Linked DNA regions of Danio rerio. The protein of the gene in region 4 binds, or shares a complex with, the protein of the main gene of each other region. Links are inferred from orthologs where the notes say so. Each region holds a gene or a part of one and is shown on either strand. Other genes may lie near its edges.

Evidence for each region.
Region 1: zc3h13 (region 4) and rbm15 share a complex: the UniProt entries of both Homo sapiens proteins name them as parts of the WMM complex. The link is inferred for Danio rerio from reciprocal best matches to the Homo sapiens genes ZC3H13 and RBM15.
Region 2: the proteins of zc3h13 (region 4) and wtap are in contact, whole or in part, in a cryo-EM structure (PDB 7VF2), measured with the Homo sapiens proteins. The link is inferred for Danio rerio from reciprocal best matches to the Homo sapiens genes ZC3H13 and WTAP. Residues at the interface, in NP_001317494.1 of Homo sapiens: Arg1512, Pro1514, Gly1515, Ala1516, Ala1517, Leu1518, Lys1520, Phe1521; in NP_001257460.1 of Homo sapiens: Asp202, Glu203, Asp206, Phe207, Gln210.
Region 3: zc3h13 (region 4) and mettl3 share a complex: the UniProt entries of both Homo sapiens proteins name them as parts of the WMM complex. The link is inferred for Danio rerio from reciprocal best matches to the Homo sapiens genes ZC3H13 and METTL3.

What each region holds. Positions count from the first base shown.
Region 1 is NC_133183.1:26,684,666-26,688,800, reverse strand, and holds the start of rbm15 (RNA-binding protein 15), read left to right. Parts: upstream 1-1,273; 5' UTR 1,274-1,420; coding exon 1,421-3,982; 3' UTR 3,983-4,135. UniProt on the Homo sapiens protein: RNA-binding protein that acts as a key regulator of N6-methyladenosine (m6A) methylation of RNAs, thereby regulating different processes, such as hematopoietic cell homeostasis, alternative splicing of mRNAs and X chromosome inactivation mediated by Xist RNA.
Region 2 is NC_133195.1:33,717,517-33,721,875, reverse strand, and holds the end of wtap (pre-mRNA-splicing regulator WTAP), read left to right. Parts: coding exon 1-74; exon of another isoform or gene 75-799; intron 800-2,392; coding exon 2,393-2,547; intron 2,548-2,654; coding exon 2,655-3,319; 3' UTR 3,320-3,858; downstream 3,859-4,359. UniProt on the Homo sapiens protein: Associated component of the WMM complex, a complex that mediates N6-methyladenosine (m6A) methylation of RNAs, a modification that plays a role in the efficiency of mRNA splicing and RNA processing.
Region 3 is NC_133182.1:21,869,957-21,874,085, reverse strand, and holds the start of mettl3 (N(6)-adenosine-methyltransferase subunit METTL3), read left to right. Parts: upstream 1-1,430; 5' UTR 1,431-1,447; exon of another isoform or gene 1,448-1,450; intron 1,451-1,811; exon of another isoform or gene 1,812-2,150; intron 2,151-2,167; exon of another isoform or gene 2,168-2,252; 5' UTR 2,253-2,269; coding exon 2,270-2,372; intron 2,373-3,386; coding exon 3,387-3,574; intron 3,575-4,129. Other genes in the region: pop7 (ribonuclease P protein subunit p20), read right to left, coding at 984-1,430. UniProt on the Homo sapiens protein: The METTL3-METTL14 heterodimer forms a N6-methyltransferase complex that methylates adenosine residues at the N(6) position of some RNAs and regulates various processes such as the circadian clock, differentiation of embryonic and hematopoietic stem cells, cortical neurogenesis, response to DNA damage, differentiation of T-cells and primary miRNA processing.
Region 4 is NC_133176.1:33,368,725-33,372,224, forward strand, and holds part of zc3h13 (zinc finger CCCH domain-containing protein 13), read left to right. Parts: intron 1-1,255; coding exon 1,256-1,462; intron 1,463-3,383; coding exon of another isoform or gene 3,384-3,386; coding exon 3,387-3,500. UniProt on the Homo sapiens protein: Associated component of the WMM complex, a complex that mediates N6-methyladenosine (m6A) methylation of RNAs, a modification that plays a role in the efficiency of mRNA splicing and RNA processing.

The DNA.
Region 1 (4,135 bases), on a different chromosome or scaffold from region 4:
AAGGGACTATTCCATAAGGCAACATGAGAGGATCTGTGAATGCCAGTGAAGTGACGTAACTGAAGATGTAGGGCACGTGACACTAAAACATGGCTAATCTTGTAGTTCTAGATTGTTCAAACAATACTATGTTCATTATGTAGGGCGTGTTTTCAAAGTATGTAGCCTACTCAAATACTCAAGAAAGTGTTTGATTTTGAATGCAGTTTGTGCATTGTAAAAAATAAATAAATGACACGTTGGCTGTTCAATTTGTCTTCTGGTGAATCAACATTGGATGAATGTGTTTATGTGCATGATAAAGTTTTTAAAATAGTTGTATTTTGTTTTATTATCACTCATTTAAGGTTTTGGACGTTTTTGTATTAAGTTCAAAGCATTGTCCTATAAATATATTCCTATTTTTCTTCATTGAAAAAAATAATAATTTGGGGGTAATTTTTTTTAATTTTGATGGTTGAATTGATAATTGTATAAGTTAAAACTATAATGGTCCCTGAGGGTATGAGTAAAGCATGCAAATTGTAAAACACTAAATTGTTTTAAGATAAATTTTAACTAATTTAAAGGCAATAACATTACTTTTATTTATTTATTTATTTATTTATTTTTTACAATTTAACATAAAAAAAAATTCACAGACATGGGCATATAATCAGAGATCTGCATTGTTTTAGTTAAGAAATTATTTCAGTTATTAGGCTAAAACCAATGGCTAAAACCCATGGAAAATGCTCATCTATAGCTGACCGACATGGTTAAAAGGCTGTTTTTTCACGTCCGTTCACCTCTGTGAAAGGCAAACACCACCATCTGTTGGACATCAAGTGAACAACGAGAATGTTTTAGTTTTTTTTTATTTGGATTACTTACGTTTTATAAAGATTGCACAGTTCATTTAAATTTATAAGAAATAACATGTAGGTGAAACTCAGACTCTTAGCATCTATTAAAGTTAAACACCGTTTAATTTTAAAAATAGCCTATACAAAGCACTCTTTGTAGATTTATCGAGATGATTAATAAATATGGTTTAAGAAGCAAATATAATATTGGCAGTACATGTTCTCAAAGACTATATGTGTGGTTAGTTGAATGTCACCTCTGTGTTTTATAAAGTGGCTATAGTAAACATTTGGCTTTTGAAGCTAAAATGGTGTACAGCGAGACTGGGCGCTGTACTAGTGCTTTAGATTGACAGACGGATCAGCCAATAGCGCTGTCGTTTCTCAGAGATTCAAACCAATCAAAGTCGACGGGCGGGTCATGTTTTAGTCTTGACAAGATGGCGTATGCGGTTGTTTTGCCGCAGGGACACTGAACAATTTATTCAGTTTATCGTGCAAATTCGTTGACGTTGCGGTAGCATTACAGTTAAAAAAGTGTTTTGTTAGGCGCGTGAAGCCAGAGGACATCTAACATGAAAGGTAAAGAGCGGTCGCCGGTGAAAAAACGTTCAAGGGCCTTGGATGATATACGAGACAGGGGAGGAAGCCATCCGACCAGTAAGAAAATGGGGGTTATCTCGAATTCTGGCGGAGGAAGCAACAACGGCAATAGTTCGTCTAAAAGCGACGGGGGCTCTGCACGACGGGGACTGCTTGGAGATAAAAGAGACGGACGGGAATTTGACGGACATGTATCCAGTCGGACTGGTAATAACCACGGTTACACGAGCCCTGTTGCGAGCTCAAGCGGCAAAAATCACGCCTCGAGTCTGTCCTTAGAGGCGGCGCGCACCAACTCGCGCGGGGAGGCGCGCGCACCGCTTCCCACAAACGAAAGTGAGTACAAAACTTTAAAAATCAGCGAGCTTGGCTCGCAGCTGAGTGACGAGGAAATCGAGGACGGCCTCTTTCATGAATTCAAAAAATTTGGTGACGTGAGCGTCAAAATCAGCCGAGTGAACGACGAGAGAATCGCATTCGTCAACTTTAGGAGACCGGATGATGCCAGGGCGGCAAAGCACGCACGAGGCCGGCTGGTGCTCTACGACCGTCCTTTAAAAATCGAGGCAGTTTACTTGAACAGGCGGAGGAGTCGCTCTCCGGTGAAGGAGGATCATTTCTCTGTTGTTGCAGGCCATAGACATTTGCATACTCAGAGGCCGCTCTCTCCAACCGGCCTGGGCTACAGGGACTACCGGTTACAGCAGTTAGCACTGGGTCGGCTTCCTCCTCCCCCACCCCCGCCTCTGCCCAGAGAGCTGGAAAGAGAAAGAGAGTTTGCCTTTTATGAAGCGAGGGCGCGGCCCGCATACATAGCAGAGCGAGCCGCTCCTTTCCGTGAGGAGGACTTTATCTCTCCAGAGGACGACCAGAGAGCCAACCGCACACTGTTTTTGGGTAACTTGGATATTACTGTGACTGAAAACGATTTGAGGAGGGCTTTTGAACGATTTGGGACAATCACTGAGGTGGACATTAAAAGACCCACTCGTGGCCAGAGCAGCACCTATGGCTTCCTTAAATTTGAGAATTTGGACATGGCTCACAGAGCTAAAATTAGCATGTCTGGGAAAGTTGTGGGCCGAAACCCCATAAAAATTGGATATGGTAAAGCCACCCCAACCACAAGACTATGGGTGGGTGGTCTTGGCCCTTGGGTGCCTCTGACTGCATTAGCCCGGGAATTTGACCGCTTTGGAACTATTAGGACTATAGACTACAGAAAAGGGGACACCTGGGCTTATATTCAGTATGAAAGCCTGGACGCTGCTCAGGCAGCCTGCACACACATGCGTGGATTTCCTCTTGGTGGTCCTGACAGGAGGCTGAGGGTGGACTTTGCTGACACAGAGCATCGCTACCAACAACAGTTCTTGCAGCCCCTCCCCCTGCAACATTATGAAATCATGGCTGAGTCTTTCGTTCATCGTGCCACCCCTGAAGCCATCAGGGTCAGAGAACGGACTCCTCCGCCACTGCACTTCAGAGAAAGAGAACTCTATGCTGGGGCTGAGTGGCCAGCACCTACTATTCGTGAACGTGTACGAACTCCTGCATTTGAGCCCCTTGAACACTTAGAGCGTGAACGACGGCGAGAGGCCTGGTCACTGGAGCGAGAGCTGCCAGGCAGAGAAGCTGCACGAAAACGGCGGCTCATGGAGGACGGCAGACATCTGGAGTGTTCGCCTGACAGCAGCAGTGAGTGGGCGGCCCGCCGTCGCAGACCCCCGTCGCTTGAGGGCAGCCCAGGCGGCAGCAGCCGAGACGGACGTTTCAGTGACTCTGAGCGTCCAGCGAGAGCAGACCGGGTGTCCCCAGCACGAGAGAGCCGCAGCAGCCTGGACCGAGTTCCCGGTGAGAAACGCATCAAAAGCAACAGCAACCTCTCTGAGTCCAGCATCGGCGCAAGCCCTGCAGAACGAAAGCGCAAAGCGGGCGATTCAGCTAAAGGTGCATCCAAGAGGGACAGATCCGAAAGCAGCTCCAAAAGCAACCAAGCTTCAAAACAGGACGCAGGGGGGAAGCTGAGCATGGCCTGGAATGGCATGCTGCTCCTCAAGAACAGTAACTTCCCAGCCAGCATGCACCTCCTGGAGGGGGACCTGAGCGTCGCCACCAGCCTTCTCATCGACGGCAGCACGGGTGGAAAAGTCTCTCAGCTGCGCATCACACAACGGCTTCGTCTAGACCAGCCCAAGATCGACGAGGTGTCTCGGCGCATCAAAGTGGCAGGCCCAGGAGGCTACGCAGTTCTACTGGCAGTTCCAGGCAGCTCTGAGGAGACTTCATCATCAGACCCAGCAGCATCCACGCAGAGGCCTCTCCGCAACCTGGTTTCATACCTGAAGCAAAAGCAGGCCGCCGGGGTCATCAGTTTGCCCGTCGGCGGCAGTAGAGATAAGGACAACACTGGCGTCCTGCACGCATTTCCACCATGTGATTTCTCTCAGCAGTTCTTAGATTCTTCTGCGAAAGCTCTTGCCAAAACAGAAGAGGACTTCCTGGTCATGATCGTTGTGCGAGGAGCATCTTAACAGTCATAATACACACTAAAGTATTGTTAAATGCAAGCTTCTCTTAATGTCTCTTAATTGCATGCTCTCTAAAGCAGAAGTGGTACTAGAGTAAAGGGCAGCTGTTGTTACCTGCTCTGCCAAACATGTACAGTAAAAAAGAGAGAAAATGGC
Region 2 (4,359 bases), on a different chromosome or scaffold from region 4:
GAACTGGAACAGACTAAAGACAAACTGGAGCAAGCCCAAAATGAACTGAGTGCCTGGAAATTTACACCTGATAGGTAAACTAAAATAACTCCCCCCTCCAAACAAAAAGTCAAGACTTTCCTGATTCACCCCCACCTTCTCCTCTGCAGGAGTGCAGATAATGGTGGGGGAAGACTGAAATGTGTTGCTCACAACGAGACTCAGACTTTAAAGCAAAAAAGCTCAGAACAAAAGACATTTTTCTTTTGTATTGCCCTGCTATTACACATACCGTAATGTAAAATCAGAACAGAACACGGCAGTTTGGTCAGGTGACACTTTTGTTTCAGCTCTTTCTCTCCCCCCCACACCCCTCATGGTACAGAAGCCTGAAGGAATCGGGACTGTTCCTGAAGAGGTGGTCACGTCGGAAACTCAGCCCGTGTTAGAAAGCTTCCTGTAACAAATAAGGCGGCCTATGAAAGACTTGAGCAAAGCGTTGGCTCTGGAGCTGGTTGAACTGTAGTTTGCAGGTCACTGATTGAACATTTAAAACATGACATGGCCCAACTAAATGTGTTGCAGAGGAAAATGCCCCCATATAAACTCCATCATAGATGCTTTGAGACTCTGGTTAAGAATCTAGAATGTAAAACAGGGAGGCGGGAATGTAGTGTGATGCAATGAAATGGGGGTGGAGTTAAGCAATCTTAAGACTTTGGGGGAGAAAGCCTTTATGATGTAAGACTTTGGGGGAGGAATCAGACATTCTGATCTGCAAAGACTTTCATATATGTTCATCTCACAGGTGCGACATACGGTACAGTGTCTTAAACCTTTTATCTTTTTTTGTGTTCGTAATATTATACTTTGTTTTTGCTCTGGAAACACTCCTTGCATTCACAGTAGAGTGGTCCAAACGAATTGAATTTATTTAAAATTGGCTGTTGCACTGCTGTGGATGCGAATATAATTGTTCTTTTCGATGTGAATGCAAATGTGCCATGTGTGATAGTAATATGTGTGAATAGTACAGCTATTCAATGTTCAAATGTCTGTGTATGATCATTTGTATTTTAACTTGTGTACCTTTCTAATCCACTTTTTATTTTTCGGTCATCCAGTGAAAGTTTAATTTTCTTTTTTTTTTTCTCTCAGGTCACAAATTTTTTGCAGGTATTTTGCTCATTAGAAATGTTCTAGCAAAATCTTACACTTCAACTTTGTTGGATTTCCTATCTGAGTGAATCAAAAGTAGTTGAAAATATTTAGTCAAAAGTCTTTTGAAATATTGACTGCTCTAAAGTGGCATAAAGAATTAAGCGGTTGTCATTGGAAGTTAGTTGTAGGATTCCCATAAAAGTTGCTGAATTGGTTTAAGGAAATTGTTTGTATTTGATTGTTGTTACATTTGATCTCAAACTGCTCTTAAATGTAAAATGTGAGCATTCGTTCTGAAGAGAGTTTAAGTCTTATTGTTTAAGGACAGTAGTGTTACTGCTGTATCTGGCAGAAAAGCACTCAAGTATATTCTAATACTAAAGAAAACATCAACATATCAGTATAATCTTTGCCAAGTTTTTTACTGGAAATAGGTTAAAGGTGCTGCTAATTTAAATGAAGCGCTCTGGCCATGCAACTTTATTGCATCTTTGTAATATTTTGCAGTGATAAGAAATTGATCTGCCTACTGTCAAGACTCTTTGTCATGTAGTATAGAACCAGTCATTTTTTTAATCAACTGATGCAGATATTGTTGGTAGCTCGTAGCTACTTTTAGATTAACAGGTAGGTACTAATAGTCACTGAAATGGAAATTGCTAATTGGTTTTGTACCATGGTCAATTACCTGGAGTACTATCCTGTTAGATGCGTTCAGATGTATTGCACTTGTTGGTTTACTTGATTTGGTCTGCCAAATGTTCATGCATCTTTTCCCAGTATTGTTTAAACTGTTACTTGATTTTCTTGATTGTTGTTGAGTATGTTTACATGCACACCAGGAAACTGCTTATTGCGAAAGATTTGTGAAAGTATCATTGTGCTGACATGTTTTGTCAAAGCAGCATATACCTGTGGCACGATTAGCATTTATTTGGCTGCCTGATCTTTTTCCATGCACTCTTCAAAAAGCTGCCTATGCATTTACATGACTACATAAGACACAATCTCTGCTAGCATTCTGCCAATGTTAAATCATGTTGACTTTCTTAAGAATACCAAGCTGTTTTCATTAGTGCTTGTAAACATACTCTAATGGTCAACTATATTTACCAGTCCGAAGACCAGTGTGGCCATTGGAGAGTTGGAAGCTATTTCTGGTTGTTACCTTCTAGTTTGTAAATGCAATGGTCACTTGTGTTGACCCTGTGGCCATGTTCACGATGTGATGTTAGACTTGTTTCCCTTGCAGCCAGACTGGTAAGAAGCTGATGGCGAAATGTCGCATGCTGATCCAGGAGAATCAGGAGTTGGGTAGGCAGCTTTCCCAAGGGCGCATAGCCCAGTTGGAGGCCGAGCTTGCCTTGCAGAAGAAGTACAGCGAAGAGCTCAAAAGCAGCCAAGATGGTGAGCGAAAGTCTTTCTTTGGTCAACTCCATTCTGGATTGTTTTGAGCAGATCTCCACTCATCTTTGTGTGTTCTCTTTTTTTACCCATGTATTTTTGTGGTCCAGAGCTGAATGACTTCATCATTCAGCTGGATGAGGAGGTGGAGGGCATGCAGAGCACCATCCTGGTTCTGCAGCAGCAGCTGAGGGAGACCAGGCAGCAGCTGTCTCAGATGAACCAAACCCAAGGCACTTCTAGTGGAGCTGGCCCAAGCAGAACTTCCCCTTCAACAGCCTCCGAACCTTCCACTCAGAGTGAACCAGCCAACGCCTCCAGTTCAAATGTGGGGAAAGACTGCGGAAGGGTGTCCAATGGACCCTCCAATGGGAACTCATCTCAGAGGGGTGCATCTGGCTCTAGTTTGTACAGGGAAGCAAGCAGTGCAGATGAAGATTACCCTCCATCACCCTCTGTCTCCAGCCCCACCCATGATGGCATATCAAAACTCTCCAACCACTCAGAAGATGCAGTGAGCCAGAGGGGTGGAGAAGGGTACGTGACTCAGCTAAGTGCAGGCTATGAGAGCGTGGACTCGCCTACAGGCAGTGAGACGTCAGTGACCCAGCACTCGAACGATACAGACTCCAATGCTGACTCCCACGAGGCCGCTGCTGTCCCCAAAGGCAGCAGGACTGCAGGTACGCGGCACAGCACTCAGAATGGCCTGGACTCATCTGCAGCAGCAGTTGCCACCAACACCTCCAATGCCTCTGCAGGGTCTGTTTTGTAACATTCTTCTAGTTTCTGTTCATTTTTTTTTTTTTTAAGTAACTCACAACAAATAAACAAAACAACCCGTCACACTTCAGGCCAGTTAGTTCTTGTTCAAGAAGTGGTCAAAAGCATCACTTTTGTTTTGTACCCTCCTTCCCATCATAACCTATTTCAGTACATTTGCTACATGCTCGAAACTGATTACGTTTATAAAATGAGCAACACTGCGTTTGTATATTTGATTTTTTTTAATGAGAGTTTTAAACCATTTTCCTCTGTCGAAGTGATATAAACACTCGGTTCTGTACTGTTCATTTGCTCACTTGCTAGAACTCTGAATGATTTAGCTATGTGTGATGTATCAATGCTCAAGTCTTGAAACTGCAAGTTCAGAGTCCTTAGTTTCCTGATGTTGAACTTTTTTTGTTCCTCTACATGACGAGAGAAAACGTTTTTGTTTGACTTGTGTGTAGTTTTTCAAGACGTATCTTGTTAAATTCTGATTTCGATCCTTTTCATGTACTGACCAAATATCAATAAAGAGTTTTAATATGACTCTGTTCTTGCTTTGTTTTTCTGCCTTGAATTGTCAAAATGATTGTCTAACAACATCAAGTTAATGAATTAAATAAAAGTTTGATGTTCTGCTGTAAAGTGACATTTTAATAAACAACTGATTTGTAGAGAAGATTGGGGTTTAGGTTTTAGTTAGCCGTCCACACCGTTAGATGGCGCTACCTCAAAATAAAACCAATGCATCCTACTTTTGTGTCCTGATGACGACAAAGCTTTCGTATTCGTTTATCAAATGAATGGGACACCGAGAAGTAGGACGTTCCGCAGTACAACCTGCATTCAGACAGAGTCAGCCTACCAAGCACATAACCAACCTACCGGACAGCAAAGATGAACACGGATGCGATTGTTATCGTTTCTGCCGCAAGGACTCCTATAGGTAAACTTAATCTCATATATCCTATCTTTATGGCTCTTTTCTCACAATACTAAGTAACGTTACATTCTACCTTTTAGCTGTTATCTGCAGCTTGTTTATGG
Region 3 (4,129 bases), on a different chromosome or scaffold from region 4:
TCCATCATAAACAGAAATGCAATGTGGTCAAAGAGAAATCGATGCCTTTTTTAAGCCAAAAGGGAGCCTAACATGGTACTGGCAAGGCTATTAATTAATTATTAAAATGCATTTATTTTTCCTATTAAAACTAAGATAGATTTGATGAAAATGTTTAAATGTGTGTGTGTGTGTGTGTATGTATGTATGTATATATATATATATATATATATATATATATATATATATATATATATATATATATATATTTATTTATTTATTTTTATTTTTATTTATTTTTTTTTTTTACCTTTATTATATACTGGTTTGCCATCATTATATTCTTATTAATAGGACAGTTCACCCAAAAGTGAAAATTTACTCACAATCACTTGGTTTCATACCTTTATGAGATTCCTCTTTCTGTTGAACATTAAAGAAGATATTTTGAAAAATGTTATAATGTTGTAACTATCGACTTCCAAAGTAGAAATCAAACACTATGGAAGTCAATGGTCACAGTTTTGTAAATTTTCTTCTTATTTCTTGTTCAACAGAAACAAAAACTCAAACAAGTTTCTGACAGGTAAAGGGATGAAGAAAATTATGAGAGAATTTTCAGTTTTGGGTGAACTATCCCTTTTATAAAATTAATAATAATAATATCTAAAATATATTGTTGTCTTAATATGCATACACATGCAGGAAGATACAATCAACAAAGTGTTGGTGGGGCTGTTTACTTTGCATTTAAGCTGTTTACTTTCCATTTAAGTTTACTATACACAAGAACACAAATACATAGTAGAAAAAAATACATATGGCACATTTCTTTCTTGTTTTTCAAATAAAACATTCAATAACACAGCAATTAATTAAAAAAAAAGTCTTGAAGCAGAAAAAAATCATAAATAATGCATCACTTTAAAAAACTTCTACATGCCACTAACGTCATACAATTGTTCATGAAGCCCTCATTCATTATATTGACACTGAAGCTGAAACTACGGATTGGGGTAAAACACCTTGATATGGATGGCCGAGTTATTCCGGGTACGGGTCAGATGCTCTCCGGCCTCGTCCGGATCTTCAGGCTCCAGGTCGTCGATGAGCTCCACCGTGGAGGTGTTTGCGGCGAGTTGCAGGGCGCCCTGGCTGGACGTCTGGAGCTGCAGAGCGATGTTTATAGCCCGGTTGATGGCCAGTCCCAGGCCGTGGATGCAGATTTCCCTGTGAGCGTCCAGAAGTTTCTGACACCTCGCTAGCTGAGCCTTGAAGTCAGTCTTCATGTTGACATAGACGTCGTTCCTCCGTTTGGGCAGTTTGCGAGGCAGTCGCTTGCGGAGGGTGAACTCTATTGGGTCCATCTCAAGGGTCGAGCCCTCGGGGGCAGCCAGGACTATTGGATTGTGGGGCACAGAAGCGGACACCGGGCTTCGTGGCTCAGCCATGTCGAATCACCTGAAAGGTGCTGCACAAACAGAACATTAATTCGCGTTTTAAAGATAAGACTCGTAACAATTTTACATATAAATGATGTGTGAATTATATTTTAACGACATGTATTTAAACGATTCCCCACAATGAACCGACTCATATGAATCATCCATTCGTGAATGGCTATATACACTGGGCGTGCATTATATTTCAGGGTATAACGCTGTATATTAAATAAGATATTACATCCACATCACATTCGAGAAACATTTTGTTTACGAAGCAGGTTCTCATTTACACAAACATTTCCAATTCATTGCCACTTAAGTTAGTGGATATAGATTTTAATATATAATGTTTGATGTATAATTTGGGATTTTGAGTAAGAGTAGTACCTTGAATTAGAAGAGCTTGTTTCAGATCCGCGCTTAATTCCTGGTAGATAAAGAATCTGCTTATTTACAGATCTGTCTTATCTCTCATTCCGGAAGACGTCTTGCGTACACTGGAAGTAATACACTATGTGATTACAAAATACATACTGTTCTTTTCTTGGTGGGGAAATATCTATTTTTATTTCGTATATCAAATAGTTATAATTGAATCCTAATTAAAAATATATATGAGTTAAAATACGTAAAAATATAAAAGTACCTGTATGAACGAGATCGTTGCTAATCAGTAAATATAGTTAGTGTCTCTTATTTTGAAAATAGAAACAGTTTAGCGGCACGGTGTGTATGGTGGTACAGTCACTCAGCGTTAGTTTGCTAGATGTAATCTAAACTTCATAAAACCCCTGTTTAATCAGTACTGTTTGTTTATTTGCTGTTTAGCTCGTTTAATTTAAGCCATGTCGGACACATGGAGTCACATCCAGGCGCACAAAAAGCAGCTGGATTCACTACGAGAGAGGCTGCAGAGGAGAAGAAAAGACCCAACTCAACTGGGCACTGGTGTGTTGAGTAATTTTACATTATCTGATATCTGAAAAATAAAATGTGTATTTTTAACTGTTTGTGTGATATGTAAAAACAAAGAAGACAGTTTTATGATTTTTATTATCATATCACTTTTTAAATGTATTAAAAATTGTAAAACATCCAGGGCATATCTTTATCGTTAACAATAAAATAAGAGATAATGATGATATGTACAGGCAACGTCGTGAGTTGTATGCTCAAGCAAATATGTAGGTGAGAGAACGTTATGTATTAATAACAGGTTAAGATAAGTCCCTTTAGAGCAAATTGTAATTGTTTTTATACAGCTCTTTTGTGGTTTTACGTTTAGCTGAAAGAGTCTCCTTAAGCTGCAGGTTGTGTAAAATGACTATGAGGATTGTGCTTCATTTTTTTATTATTCTGTTAGGCAAGAGTACAACCATTCCCTGCTTTAATGACAAATGTGATGTATGAATTTATTTGTCAGCTGGAGAACATACATAACAATATGTTGTTGACAAATCCTAGACCTAAAGATGTTCGATATCAGTCCTCTGTGAGAAATATTAGCGTAACTGTTATTTTTAATGTATAATGTATAATTAATGTATCATTTTCAATGTAAAATTATATAACTTACTATTTTCCCAGTGTTGTGTTGCAGCTAGAAGGACATCCCGCTTCATTCCGCTGTGGCGACCCCAAATTAATAAAGGGACTAATCCGAAAAGAAAATGAATGAATGAATAATTTACTGTTTTGCATGTTATTGTGTGTTTTCTTTCTTTTCTTGTTTTATTTGCTAAACATTAAACTACCTTTGTAAACCACGTTTCTGATATAATCAGATTTATTTACTTGAATTCAAATGCTAAACGTGGAAATATCTAATACTATCAGAAGTGTACTATCAAAATGGTAAAAACATTTGAATGTATGCTAAAAGAAAGTTCAGCGGTGTCGAAATAGTGAGTCTATGATGCCACCTGCTGTATGAGAATTTCCTAACAGTTCTTATTTTAACAGAGGTTGGAAGTGTTGAGAGTGGATCTGCAAGAAGTGACAGCCCGGGACCAGCAATTCAGAGTCCTCCACAAGTAGAAGTTGAGCATCCTCCAGACCCAGAGCTAGAGAAGAGGCTGCTGGGATACCTCTCTGAACTGAGCCTTTCCCTGCCAACTGATTCCCTAACGATCACCAACCAGCTAAATACAGTAAGAGCTGTGTGCACTAACAGCTATGAATCTGAACCCATATCTTTTTATTATTATTATTATTATTATTATTATTATTATTAATAATATTATTCCACCCTTTTTTAGAATAACTGTTAGATTGTCAAAAAGTGTTAAAGGAATACTACTCTTTTTTTTTTTTTTTTAATAGACTCATTTAACAAGACCCCAAGAGTTAAACTGTTACGATTTTAATCATAGATATCTATGTGGAGCACTTTTAGCTTAGCTTAGCTTAGCATAGATAATTGAATCAGATTAGACTATTAGCATCTTGCTCAAAAAAAGTATTTTGATTATTTTCCTATTTAAAGCTTGACTCTTCTGTAGTTACATTGTGTAACAAGACTGACAGAAAATGAAAAGTTGCTATTTTTTAGGCTTATTAGTCTAATAAATAGCATTCTGGCATAACAATTAACAAACTTTACTGTTACTTTTATCAATAGTGCTGTGTAATGTCATTGCGCCTGCTGCGTCCATGGTACGACAGTAAAATTCTTTTGATTATTATGGCCGAATGAGAGTATAGTT
Region 4 (3,500 bases):
ATTATTATTAACAAAGGATAGAATAATTAGTATAGATTAGAAAAAGCTGCTAATAAATTAGCAAACAGTTTAGCCTATTAAAAATAATAGCTATTCTAAAGAAATTCAATCAAGTTATCAAGTCTCATTAACCTTTTCTTCACTGTATAATTTAAACGTTGATTTAAGAGCCGTGAATGAATCTCTTATTTGTTTTTTGTTTTTTATTTGATTACATTTACAGAGGTGCCACTGTAAAAATGCACACATCTTATGAAAGCATGCCATTGCTTTCCTAACTGTTTATACTCATTTAAGACAAAATGTGTTGTGTTTAAAAGAACCCACCAAGATTGGCACATTTAGATGTTGTTGTTGTTGTTATTATTATTATTATAATTATTATTATTATGTATTTATGTCAGTTCAAACACGCACCCAAAACCCAGAGTGTCCACCTTTGCTCTGCTTCAAATCGAGTGTACAAAATGTGTTTGGGAAACGTCATCTATTTATCACTATGGAGTGTCTGACAGTCAAGCACCAATACATGAACTGTCTTTTTGAGGAGGGGCAACGGTGCCTGTAATGGAAAGGAAGGGAATTTTGCCTATTTATATTTATTTCAAAGTGTTTTTATGCCTAAATAAAATGAAAGTACAGAACAGATTTACATTTAAGAGCAAGGGGCGATCCCTGGTGGTTTGGCGGTATGGGTTGCGAATATGGAGGATTGGCCATCCTTCATAGAAAGATTGAAAAATGGGAGAAATATGGTAAAAAATATATATTTACAGGATGATAGCGGGAAAGAATTGTAAAATACAGGAAAAACGGGAAGGTTGACTGGTATGGTGTGCTTTAGTGCAGGAAGTTGGATATATATTAAAGCTCACAATAACAGCGCTATAATTAATTTCTCGGGTTTATGTAATACATTTAATTTGTTACACATTTTAGCTGTGAACTGTTACTTTTCCAGTTTTATGCACAATAATGCTGCAGTAAAGTACACTGAAAAAATTTACGTCTGCAAAACTATTGCAAAAATTAATTTGTTTTGAATTTAAACAAACAAATTAAGTGTAATAAAATTCAAATTAATTTGTTTGTTTAAATTCAGCCCATATAAATTGATTACAGCCACTTAACGTAAATAAATACATAAATCCAAGGAATCTCCTCTGAATAATTTTATTTTGTGTAAAAATGTGTCATATTCTTTAAAATATTTGAGTTAATTTATAAATAAATTAATCATATGTTTCCATTTCAGCTCGTGGTAGTAGAGCATCACAGGCTGACAATAGCAGTGCTAGTGGACACGACAGCTGGGAGTCACGTAGCAGTGGTCTGAGAGAGAGGAGCACAGAGAGGAACACTGATCGCGATCGCTATGATGACCGACCGAGAGGAGAGCAGCCCAGAGATGAACGACGGGGAGCACATAATGAGAGAGATCGCCGTGACAACAGAGAACGAGGTGACTAGTCAAGTGATGTACTTTTTATTATTAATTGCAATCAGCTTACTGCTGCTAATTATAGAACACATAATCATTTACAGTGTAGTCTTGGATGTTGAATTGCTTGAATCGTTGTTGTTTTCTTGTGCAAATAAAGATGCACAGTTTGACCAGCCAAGGTGTGAATGTGGCTCTATGTTCACGATTTGCAGCCACAGCAACCATAAAAACATTTGGTGCAACACCTTCATCTAAATAAACTATTCAGACTGTGTTCACACCAGACGTGACACACGCAGATAAATTGCATTATTCACGTGTAAATAGATGTGTGAACTTTTTGAATTTACTCTCTTTATTCGTGCGTCAAATCCACTTCATTCGCATGTTAAATCTGCTTCACAACAGATGTCGATTCGCATCGTGGGTAGGGCTTCTATCTGCCTGGTGACACTAGCTTCATTGCTAAATGACATGGATTTTATTGAAAGTATAACTGTCTTTATGTGCTTTATGTTGGCTGAAAAACAGCATAGATTCGCTGTGTCTGAGTCCATTAGATCCTTTCAGAGGTGCCCCCAGCTCTGTGAGTTCATAAACCCCTTTAGAAACTATACCTGGATGATGGAAGCTTTCAGCGGTGTTTCCCACTGAGCCGTGCCCACTATGATGAACTGTTGTCTTGTGTTGGCAGGAGGATTTTCCCCCAAGACACCAACAGCAGGCGCTACATGATAAGCATGCCGCTAGTTGCGTCATTCGCGCGCACTCATTCACGTGTATCGCACCGCAGTCTTTTTGTTGACTTGACATTTAAATCACTTGTGCTTGTCGCTTCTTCGGCGTCTAGTGTGAATGCAGCATAAGAATTTTGCCTGATTAATTTGATCATTTTTTAAAGTCATAATAAACGCTTTACTTTTGAGCTGTTTTTAAAATGATTGCTGCATGAGGAAAGAATTCTGCTAAACATCAGTTATAATTGAGTTTAGAGAGATAAAGGGCTCTTTTTTTAATGATCTAGGCAAAATCATTATGGGCGTGTCCAAATCCACTTCTGCTATTTTATGAATTGAAAAATACGCTTTGCGCCCTGGCACATGGTCTAACAGGGTTGTGCTTATTCTCTTAATGAGTTATGGGTAGGCCCACATGGAATCTGCACGTGCAAAAATCCACTGATTTGCACAGGTTTTTAGCCCATCATTAAGTCTATGTATTTACATGTGTTAATGTGCGTAAATTTATATTTATTCAATTCACATAATACGTGAATGGAAGTGAGGCGACGCAACTGACGCAGGTAGGTCACGTGACCATGACAAAATGGCGGATGTAGTACGTCCGAATTCCATTCATACTTTTCACATTCATACTGTATAGAATGTACTTTTCTAATGGCCGAGTAGTACGTTTAAATTCAAATGCAGTACCAACTGAGTAGAAGGCGGTTTCGGACACAGCCAAACACTTTTTAGTTGTAATGGAGTTTGTGGGAAACTGTGATGTTTATTTTTAACTGTTATGATTGGTTTATTTTTTATTTTTTTATTGTAAATATACTTCTATGTAAGAAAATTGGAAATTGCAAAAATCAGTATTGGCAGTTCACACTAACTGAAAAATCTGAAAACAGAATCAATCATGAAAAATTGCAGTTGGTGGATCTCTAAAATACTATAATTATCTACACAACTAGAAGTCCAGAGTCGCAACTATACTAGATGAAACTATTTTGTTTTCGGTAAACTGATGTTTGACTAAATGTGCCTTTGTTCAATGCTGAGAGATTGCACTTTTAGGCCTTTTTTATTTCTTTAAAGCTTGCTTTAAAGCACCTTAAGTTACAATTTGTGTATGACGTGCTAAATAAATAAACTCACCTTGCTTGACTGTAGATGGAAATTTATTTGGAGAAAATAAAACTTCTTTTTTTCAGCAGAACAAAGAGCGCCCTCTCCTGTCCGCCAGCAAAACCGTGGCGAGGATCTGGAGCGTGAAGAGAGAAGAGATGATCGTCGGAATGACAGAGGGGATGACAGACGAGATGATCGTA